Linked DNA regions of Saccharomyces cerevisiae S288C. Each later gene encodes a partner of the first gene's protein in a complex. Each region holds a gene or a part of one and is shown on either strand. Other genes may lie near its edges. A codon is read from its position in the direction of its gene.

Region 1 (3,982 bases):
AAATCAAAGATGATGCTACTCTCTTCTTCCATCTCTTTGATACAATCCATTATGTAGTAACCATATGCAGAAGAGTAAGTAGCTCCGACCTGGTCGGCAAGCATTTTTACCAGCTCAGTTGGCATATACGATATGGTCGTACCTGAATCTAGCAGGACTGGGATCTTTGTAGTGGTTAGGGTTGTCAGATTGTCTTCTTTATCCCCTTTCGACGTACCTAATCCTTGTAAAGTGACTTGGAATTGAATTGGATCCTTGTAGCCGCGATGCTGCAAAGTATTAATGATGGGAATTGTGTATAGGTCGCCCGCATATTTTCCATGATCCACAGCGCCAAACAAAATGGTACCATGTTTCGAATCAGAATCATTTGCGAATAAAGAATAAGCTGTTGATTTTATTACACCCGAATTCTTTAGCACCATCGGAAAGTTATTGTAAGTGTAGCTTTTTTGTACAGAGCTGAGAGAAACACCAGAATAAGTTGACTCCAAGCCAGGCAAACCAATACCCAAGACACCAACTGTTGAGTTTGTTTCGTTTGCTACAGCAAATGATAAACCCGTAATGTTCAAATCGTTCAAGCTCAATTGATCATGGCCCCAGGTACCAGATGCAAAAGTCGTATCACCATAGGCGATCGAAAATTCTGTATTATTGGAGTTGAATGTAGACGACTTAGAGGTATTAAATGTCCCGTATGTAGCGCAGTCAATTAACTGTGATGTAGAAGCTGTACTATCAAAAGTAGCAGTGGCTTCGCTGGTAACTATAGTGGTGTCGTAGCTAATTTCAGTAAACACACTCTCAACCACGCTAGCCAAAGCATCCTTGTTTACTTGTTTAAAGGATGAGCCAGTGGTATCCTTCTTTTTAGTGGAACAGTATGGGTTGTCTGAACCCGTGACCCATAGATCAGAAGAACCAGTGTCGACAAGCACAGTAACTTTTTGAGGAGGGGTGCCAATATCTAATTCCACCGAATAAAAACTGTTTTGATTAGTCAGTTCCACCAGCTCGTAATCATCATCTCTTGTCATCAAACGCGTTCTACCTTTTGTATCATCCAAAGCGTTTTCAAATGAACTGCCGTATTTCTTCTGAAAATTCATTTTGACATAGACTTCATTACTTGGTAAGGATGGAAAATCTGTAACACCGGCATCTACTATTGAGCTGCAGACAAGTAATGCATCTACGACAAATGTGAGGACAGATAATTTCATAGAGCTCTTTCTTTTTCGTTTATTTTTGACGTATTTGCTCAAGCGAATAACGACAAAAGCTTGTTCTCTCGTTGATACTTTTAGCCAATTACAATTTCTTAGCAAGAACGAGTGACGCCAACCAAATTTCTCCCAAAAGTGATTATCTGAATAATGAAAGATGGTAGGAAATAAGGTATTGAAACAGGTTCAAAACTTTAAAAGAAAACTGCCAAATAAACTTTCTCGATGCGTAGCTGAAATTTCAACTTCAAAAAAAAAAAAACGCGTGTAACTTTCTACGTGCAAAACGATGTGTATGAATCCCGTCTTAATTAGTAAATAGGGTCTAGTAAGCGTAGCGAGGATGAATTAAATGCATTGTTGAATATGAAGAGCACCTTATGGTATATAAATGTACAATCTTGATTCATGACAGCTTTGCAAGTAAACGTATCAAATGAATATCACGATTTTGGCTGTATTACCCGGGCAGTATACGCGGCGAATTTTGTTAAAAAATGTGTTAGACTTAAGTCGGAGCAAATGAATAATGGGCATATATAGCGCATAGGTTCGCTAGTGTAAGACAGGAGACTGTCCAATAGCATTCGAATCATAACCGAATCTTTGCCAGTGTGTGTATAAAATACGACAATGTCTTCCAATCCAGAAAATTCTGGTGTTAATGCGAATAATAATACGGGCACTGGTAACGCTGATGCGATCACAGGAGCTCAGCAAAATATGGTACTGCAACCGAGACAGTTGCAAGAAATGGCCGCTAAGTTCAGGACATTACTGACTGAAGCAAGAAATGTAGGTGAAACTACTCCTAGGGGCAAGGAATTGATGTTCCAAGCCGCAAAGATCAAACAGGTATATGATGCCCTTACACTGAATAGGAGAAGACAACAGGCTGCGCAAGCCTACAATAATACTTCAAATTCAAATTCAAGCAATCCAGCTTCTATTCCTACTGAAAATGTCCCTAATTCATCACAGCAACAACAACAACAACAACAACAGACAAGAAACAACAGTAACAAATTTAGCAATATGATAAAACAGGTTCTCACCCCGGAAGAGAACCAAGAATATGAAAAGCTATGGCAGAATTTCCAAGTCCGTCATACGAGTATAAAGGAGAAAGAGACCTACTTGAAACAAAATATTGATAGGTTAGAACAAGAAATAAATAAACAGACGGACGAAGGGCCCAAGCAGCAGCTACAAGAAAAGAAAATTGAACTGCTTAACGATTGGAAGGTGCTAAAAATTGAGTATACCAAGCTGTTCAATAATTATCAAAACAGTAAAAAAACATTCTATGTAGAGTGTGCAAGACACAATCCGGCTTTACATAAATTCTTGCAAGAAAGCACTCAACAGCAACGAGTGCAGCAACAAAGGGTACAACAACAACAACAACAACAGCAGCAGCAGCAGCAACAGCAGCAACAGCAACAGCAACAGCAACAGCAACGCCAGGGTCAAAACCAAAGAAAGATTTCTAGTTCTAATTCTACTGAAATACCCTCTGTAACCGGCCCTGATGCACTGAAATCGCAGCAGCAGCAGCAGAATACAATAACTGCCACCAATAATCCCAGGGGCAATGTTAACACTTCACAGACTGAACAATCGAAAGCTAAGGTAACCAATGTAAATGCAACGGCATCTATGTTGAATAATATAAGTTCGAGCAAATCGGCAATATTCAAACAAACAGAGCCTGCCATACCCATATCGGAAAATATATCTACCAAAACACCAGCACCGGTAGCTTATAGATCCAACAGACCTACAATAACTGGAGGTTCTGCTATGAATGCCAGTGCTTTGAATACACCAGCAACAACTAAATTACCACCCTATGAAATGGATACTCAGAGAGTTATGTCAAAGCGTAAATTAAGAGAGTTAGTGAAGACTGTCGGAATTGATGAGGGTGACGGTGAAACTGTCATTGACGGTGATGTTGAGGAATTACTATTGGATCTTGCCGACGATTTTGTTACTAATGTTACAGCTTTTTCTTGTAGATTGGCAAAACACAGAAAATCGGACAATTTGGAGGCAAGAGACATTCAGTTACATTTGGAGAGAAATTGGAATATTAGGATTCCTGGTTATTCCGCAGACGAAATAAGAAGTACAAGAAAATGGAATCCCTCTCAAAATTATAACCAGAAATTGCAGAGTATCACATCAGATAAGGTAGCAGCTGCAAAAAACAATGGAAACAATGTTGCAAGCTTGAATACAAAAAAATAATTATGTTACCCACATTCTCCACTCTTCCACAGAAAAAATTCCTAAAGTTATAGTTCACATTGTTATATATGTATCTATAAAGCGAAATTTTTTAAAATTAATTGATTAATTAATATTTTGTATCTAAAGTGTTCATACTATATTATTTACTTAGATTATACATAATTAAAAAAAAAAAAAACTTTTTTTCCTTGTTTTCATTTTGTTTTTATTATTAAATATTAAAAAAAGTGTCCATAACATCAATGTTTTTTTTTACCTTTGATTAGTTTTCATTGGCGAAACCATAATCCCCGTTCCATTCCCATCATAACTACGCTCTCTTCTGAGTTGATCTTCAAGCTTGAACATCAACTGTCCATTATGATCCTTGTTAATATTTTCTTTGATTGGACTACTAGAAACACTTGAAGTTCCATCTTTTCTTGGTCTTCCTCTTTTTCTTGGAGACCTTTTAATTACCACGTTTTCATACTTTTTACCACCGCTGCAAATCATTC
Region 2 (5,315 bases), on another chromosome or scaffold:
CACTTTTGTAGCTTTGCAATATATTCAAAGCGGACTGGATTCCTGGCGTTACAGAAAGCGGTACATCTTCCGGCATACCATTGATTTTGAAATCTGCTATCGCATCAATGTCTAGTTCCGTTTTTTCCGTGAGGTCCGTTGGTGGCTTTAAAAATTGACGATTTCTACCTCCTAATTTGCCCAGTATTCTGACTACGTTGTGGCTGATAGCATGATTAAATGGTTGAGGTTGCAGAAGGTTAAACAAGGCCTTCGAAACGTCATCGATTACCGGTTCGATTATAGGATCAAAATACTCGGCGGTCAAATTATCAATACATAATTCTAAGGTCCTTAAACCCTGCGAAACGAGATCAGGATATTGCTGTAATGCAAATACCAATGGTTTCATCAAAAATGGCAAATAAGGAGCAAGCACACTTAACCGAACTGGTACAGTGATGCATAATTCCACATAAAGTTCTCTCTCGTGGGGCAATCGTGCAGTAAGTATCATTTGGTTTAAAGATTGTAATAGCACCTGTAGTATGGGCTTAATCGATCTATATAAGTTTTCAAATCTGCCCCCACCTATACTTCTAAAAAGAGTTCTAATAAGATAAAAGTATACTAGAGGCTCTTCTGCTGTAGTTGAGTATTTCAGGGAGTTTAGAATTAGATCGTTTAAGTGTGGAAGAAGAACAACCTCATTGATATTGGGGAAAAGATTGACGGACATAAAGGACAATTTGAAAAGTCGTATTAGGACATTAGAAGTGTTAAAATCAACGTTTCCTAAATCTTTCAATTTCCCTTTCAAGAATCTTAAAAGGATGCCAGCAAAATTTGGGGAGGTTATTTCACTTGTTAAAAAGGATTGCGCGACATGTAGCAGCCCAGAATCCTCCAGCATTCTTTCATAGACAAATGGCAGTTCCTGTTCAATTATTTCATTAAAAGTGGCATTATCCATCTGCATAAACATAAATGCCAAATAGTCCATTAACTCACGAGCATCTTTGGTGGCTGAGACCGGTAGGCTGGGCATTGATATATCAAAATGTTTTTTTGTTGTTTCTGGAGATAATTTTTCATTATGATCTTTAAAAAATTTCAAACCAATAATACATTCGTGAAATAAATCCTTGAAAACAATGACTTCCTCATATGAAAAAACTCTAGAAACAGAAGCCCACAATTTAGGATTAGCAACCGTATATTCGTTAGGAGGTGGGTTAAAGACTTTTAAGTCATGAATTATTGTTTTTAAGAAAGACATTAAAGTTCTGTATAAGTAAAAAGCATCCTTGATGGGATCATTTGTTGGTGTGGGTAGTAATAATATAGGTGCGTAGTTTTTTATGTCAAACATTTCAACGTCATTCTTCACCACTTTGTCAGATTCTGTCATTTCAACATCGGGACTATCATTGATATCTTCTTTTTTAGGCTGTGGCATCAAATGGTCGTCATCGGATGGTTCCAGTACCTTCCTCATAAATTCCTCACTCTCTTTGTCATTATCCTGTATAGAGTTTTTGAGCTTTTCTGCTTTCTCCTTCTTATGCGTTTCGTATCTTCCATAGTACTTCATTATTGTATCGTACTGTCTGTTTAAGGTTTTAAATCTATTCATATATGAGTCAATGATTATCATTAACAATTTCTTTGCTCTAGGGGCCTCTTGTGGGTTCTCCTTTCCCAATTTTAATATTCTTTCAACTAAATTAAGCAGCAATTTTGCACTCATGATTTGTACAGTTAAGGCTAATGACTCATCCAATAGATATCCAGTGTAAATCTTTATTGTTTTTTCAATTTCACTTAGTTGTAATTCAGATCTTATATTATGAATGAAATCTGCCACAGTACTATAAGCCAGGGGCCTTAATGTTTCATGCATAGTAAAACCGTTACCAATAAGTATACGTTCGTCAAACAGATAGTCCAATTTGGGTAAAAAGAGCTTTTTGTAGTTTGTAGATAGAATGTGTCTAGTGGCATGCAAAAGTTCCTTCCTAGCAGATGATAGTTCAGAAGGGCAGTCTTGTAAAAGCCTTATGATTAAATCAGGAACAAAATTCACATAATCCTGCAAAAATTCAGGAGCGTATCCTCTAATGAATACGTAAGCCAAGAAAGACGTGGCCTTGATCTGGGCTAATATAAAATCACAGTAAGCCGGTCTGTTGATAATCTCCGTCGATATAGAAGTGAAATGTTCTCCCCGTGATTCCGCCTGTTCTCTCGCTTCCTGTTGTTGTTTAATTTGTATATTCAATAGATTCATAATAAGAGGAGTGAATTCCGGAAGCGAGGTGCTAGTCAACTGCTTGTAAGACGAATATAAAGTGACCATTGTAATAGGGCATTCAGAAAGGATTTTAAAGGAAAACATAGATGACCTCAACCCGTTTGATGAGGTAGAGTTTTCAAACCTTGGCTCCGTGGATGATTGTTTCGATGGAAAGTCCTTTTCTTCATCATTTTTGGAGAATTCATCGAGAAGTTCATCTGCCTGTGGTTCTTTTGGTGAATCCAAATCACCCTGTTCTGCTTTCCCGGCTTCATAAAACGTCTGGTTTATAAGGTTTGGTGTATTTTTATAAATCTGAATAATTATTCGTATGAAGGAGTCGAGTTTGTCCTGTAGTATTGATTTGAATGATTTGAAAAGTGTCGTCAGCACTTTCATACATAATATCCCATTTTCTTCGTTTTCCTTTGGTAGTACTGAAAGTAAAAACTCGAGCACTTCCATTGCGTAGGGTTGAAAGGTTTGGTTCATGAGACACCTGTTGAAAATATCAAGCATAGAGTTTCTCAACTTTTGTTCCGGTGAATGCGCATCATATGAAATAGGAACTTCCTTTAGCTGGTTTAGAAGTAAAGGTATCACAGCTTGTAAGAAAAAATGGTAATCCTCAGGAGAATTCAGTAATTCCATTATGTCGTACAATTCCGATAGAGTGGAATATCTCGATTGTAGAGTGGCATCATCATCGCGAAACCTACTGGCGAATTGCTCGATCTGCTCAGTGAGTGACATCGGCAAAATGCGGTATTCTTTGTAACTATGGAGATATCGTGTGATAGATCTTCTCTGAATTTAATCTTCTTTATGTAATTACGTGTGATACCTCCGATTTTGTTGGTGTTGTTTATTAGAATACAACTAAAAAAGGCTATTAAAGAAAAATGGTTCTTGAGCTTTTTTTTCAGTTTGACCTGGAAAACTGTCTGACCACGTGATCACTTACCAAATTAGGAAACACAAGATTCAAGGTGGTCTTTTGAACAATTGTTGGTTGAATTTGTAATTTGAGGGTACAATAAATGCAGACTGATTTGGTATTCGATACGTGCGTTAGCTATTTTCGTGCGTTTTGTTTGTTCCTATGATCTCAGCGGCGTCCAGATGCTAGTTGAAAAGGCATGAATTATGGCTTTGTCTTGAAATGCGCGTGTCCGTAAAATATTGTCTGGCAGAGTAGCGTACAATTCTTAGTTTTGGCTTTTTGATTCAAGTTGATCTTCAAATTTCACTTATTTGCGTTCTGGCGATCTATCTGAAGGAGTTGATTAGTGGCGGCTAAAAGTGATGCAGCTCGTCCTTCTGTTTGCCCTATTGAAGGTGAAGCCTTCCGTGCACAATGCGAAAAAAATGTTCTTTTTTTTCCTTCGTTTCGTCTCAACGTGGGAACGATCAAACTGGAAAAACCAAAGAGAAAAATGTTAGAAAATAAATAAATAAAAAAAACACGTACGCTGTAACAACTTAGGTCTGATTCAACCAAATCGGAGCTTGCAACTGAAGAAATTAGTAATTTTGAGGGTTACTAAGGAGGCCATTTGCAGAAGAATATTGGACCATCATGTCTCAGCAGAATATTTTGGCAGCTAGTGTTTCAGCGCTCTCTCTTGATGAATCTACTGTGCATACGGGCGGAGCATCTTCCAAAAAAAGTAGAAGACCTCACAGAGCATATCATAACTTTTCCTCGGGCACTGTTCCTACTTTGGGCAATTCACCCTACACTACACCCCAATTGAATCAGCAGGATGGTTTTCAACAACCTCAAGCCTTTACCCCTAAGCAATTTGGTGGCTTCAACAACGGTTCGGGTTCCGTTATGTCCACGCCTGTAATGGTGAGTCAAGAGCGATTCGGTGCGAGTGAGGCCTCCTCGCCATATGGTCAATCTATGCTTGATATGACAGCGCCTCAACCTACATCTCACATTGTTCCAACTCAAAGATTTGAAGATCAAGCTCAATATTTACAACGATCTTTCGAAACTTGTAGAGATTCTGTTCCGCCCTTGCCGACCACCCAGTTTTATTGTGTTGACCAAGGTTCATGTGATCCGCACTTGATGAGTTTATCCATGTACAACATCCCCGAAAGTGAACACTTGAGAGCCGCCACGAAGCTACCACTTGGATTAACCATCCAACCATTTTCCACTTTGACACCGAATGATGCAGAAGTTCCCACAATTCCATTACCAATGGATGGTACGCCTTTGCGTTGTAGACGTTGTCGTGCGTATGCTAATCCTAAATTTCAGTTCACTTATGATTCAAGTGTTATTTGTAATATTTGTAGAGTTAAGATGCAAGTTCCAGGTGAGCATTTTGCGCCCATGGGTCCCAATGGGCAACGAAGTGATTTGAACGAAAAATCAGAGTTATTGCACGGAACAGTCGATTTCTTGGTGCCAAGTATTTACAATGCTATTCAGGAGAAGGAGCTTTTACCACTACACTACGTGTTTTTGATTGATGTTTCATTGTTAGCTAATGAGAACGGAAGTTCTTTAGCCATGGTGGAAGGTGTCAGGTCATGTATTGAGTATATTTCAGATTTCCAGCCAAATTGTGAGGTTGCTATAATCGTTTATGATAATAAGTTGCGGTTCTTTAATTTGAGACCAGATTTAGATAATGCACAAGAGTACATTGTAAGTGAATTGGACGATGTTTTCTTACCATTTTATAATGGATTATTTGTTAAACCCGGAAACTCGATGAAAATCATTAATGACACATTGATAAAAATTAGTGGTTACATCTCCACCGACAAGTATAGTCACGTACCCCAAGTCTGTTATGGTTCTGCTTTACAAGCCGCAAAATTAGCGTTAGACACAGTAACTGGCGGGCAAGGTGGTAAGATTATTTGTTCTTTGAACAGCTTGCCAACGATCGGCAACGGGAATTTATCGCTAAAAAGGGACAATGCACACATTGCTCATGTTAAATGCGACAATGGGTTCTATAAGAAATTAGCATCGGATTTTTTGAAATCCTACATTTCTTTAGATTTATATGTG

What was found.
Region 2: the proteins of TAF12 (region 1) and TRA1 are in contact, whole or in part, in a cryo-EM structure (PDB 6T9I), measured with the Saccharomyces cerevisiae proteins. Residues at the interface, in NP_010429.1 of Saccharomyces cerevisiae: Ala353 (codon at 2,919), Ile354 (codon at 2,922), Phe355 (codon at 2,925), Lys356 (codon at 2,928), Gln357 (codon at 2,931), Thr358 (codon at 2,934), Glu359 (codon at 2,937), Pro360 (codon at 2,940), Ala361 (codon at 2,943), Ile362 (codon at 2,946), Pro363 (codon at 2,949), Ile364 (codon at 2,952), Ser365 (codon at 2,955), Glu366 (codon at 2,958), Asn367 (codon at 2,961), Ile368 (codon at 2,964), Thr370 (codon at 2,970), Pro373 (codon at 2,979), Pro375 (codon at 2,985), Val376 (codon at 2,988), Tyr378 (codon at 2,994), Ser380 (codon at 3,000), Asn381 (codon at 3,003), Arg382 (codon at 3,006), Pro383 (codon at 3,009), Thr384 (codon at 3,012), Ile385 (codon at 3,015), Thr386 (codon at 3,018), Gly387 (codon at 3,021), Gly388 (codon at 3,024); in NP_011967.1 of Saccharomyces cerevisiae: Leu869 (codon at 424), Val871 (codon at 418), Ile905 (codon at 316), Asp906 (codon at 313), Asn907 (codon at 310), Leu908 (codon at 307), Thr909 (codon at 304), Ala910 (codon at 301), Tyr912 (codon at 295), Gln935 (codon at 226), His939 (codon at 214), Ala940 (codon at 211), His943 (codon at 202), Asn944 (codon at 199), Arg947 (codon at 190), Lys951 (codon at 178), Arg955 (codon at 166), Arg2581, Ile2584, Thr2585, Leu2587, Ser2588, Thr2593, Ile2596, Leu2622, Val2623, Tyr2625, Leu2626, Ser2629, Tyr2630.

Annotation. Positions count from the first base shown.
Region 1 is NC_001136.10:744,876-748,857, forward strand, and holds TAF12 (Taf12p), read left to right. Parts: upstream 1-1,862; coding exon 1,863-3,482; downstream 3,483-3,982. Other genes in the region: MKC7 (aspartyl protease), read right to left, coding at 1-1,226; DNA-binding transcription factor SWI5, read right to left, coding at 3,738-3,982. UniProt on the Saccharomyces cerevisiae protein: Functions as a component of both the DNA-binding general transcription initiation factor complex TFIID and the transcription coactivator SAGA complex.
Region 2 is NC_001140.6:300,474-305,788, reverse strand, and holds the start of TRA1 (histone acetyltransferase TRA1), read right to left. Parts: upstream 3,029-5,315; coding exon 1-3,028. Other genes in the region: SFB3 (Sfb3p), read left to right, coding at 3,855-5,315. UniProt on the Saccharomyces cerevisiae protein: Essential scaffold subunit of the transcription coactivator SAGA complex. SAGA acts as a general cofactor required for essentially all RNA polymerase II transcription.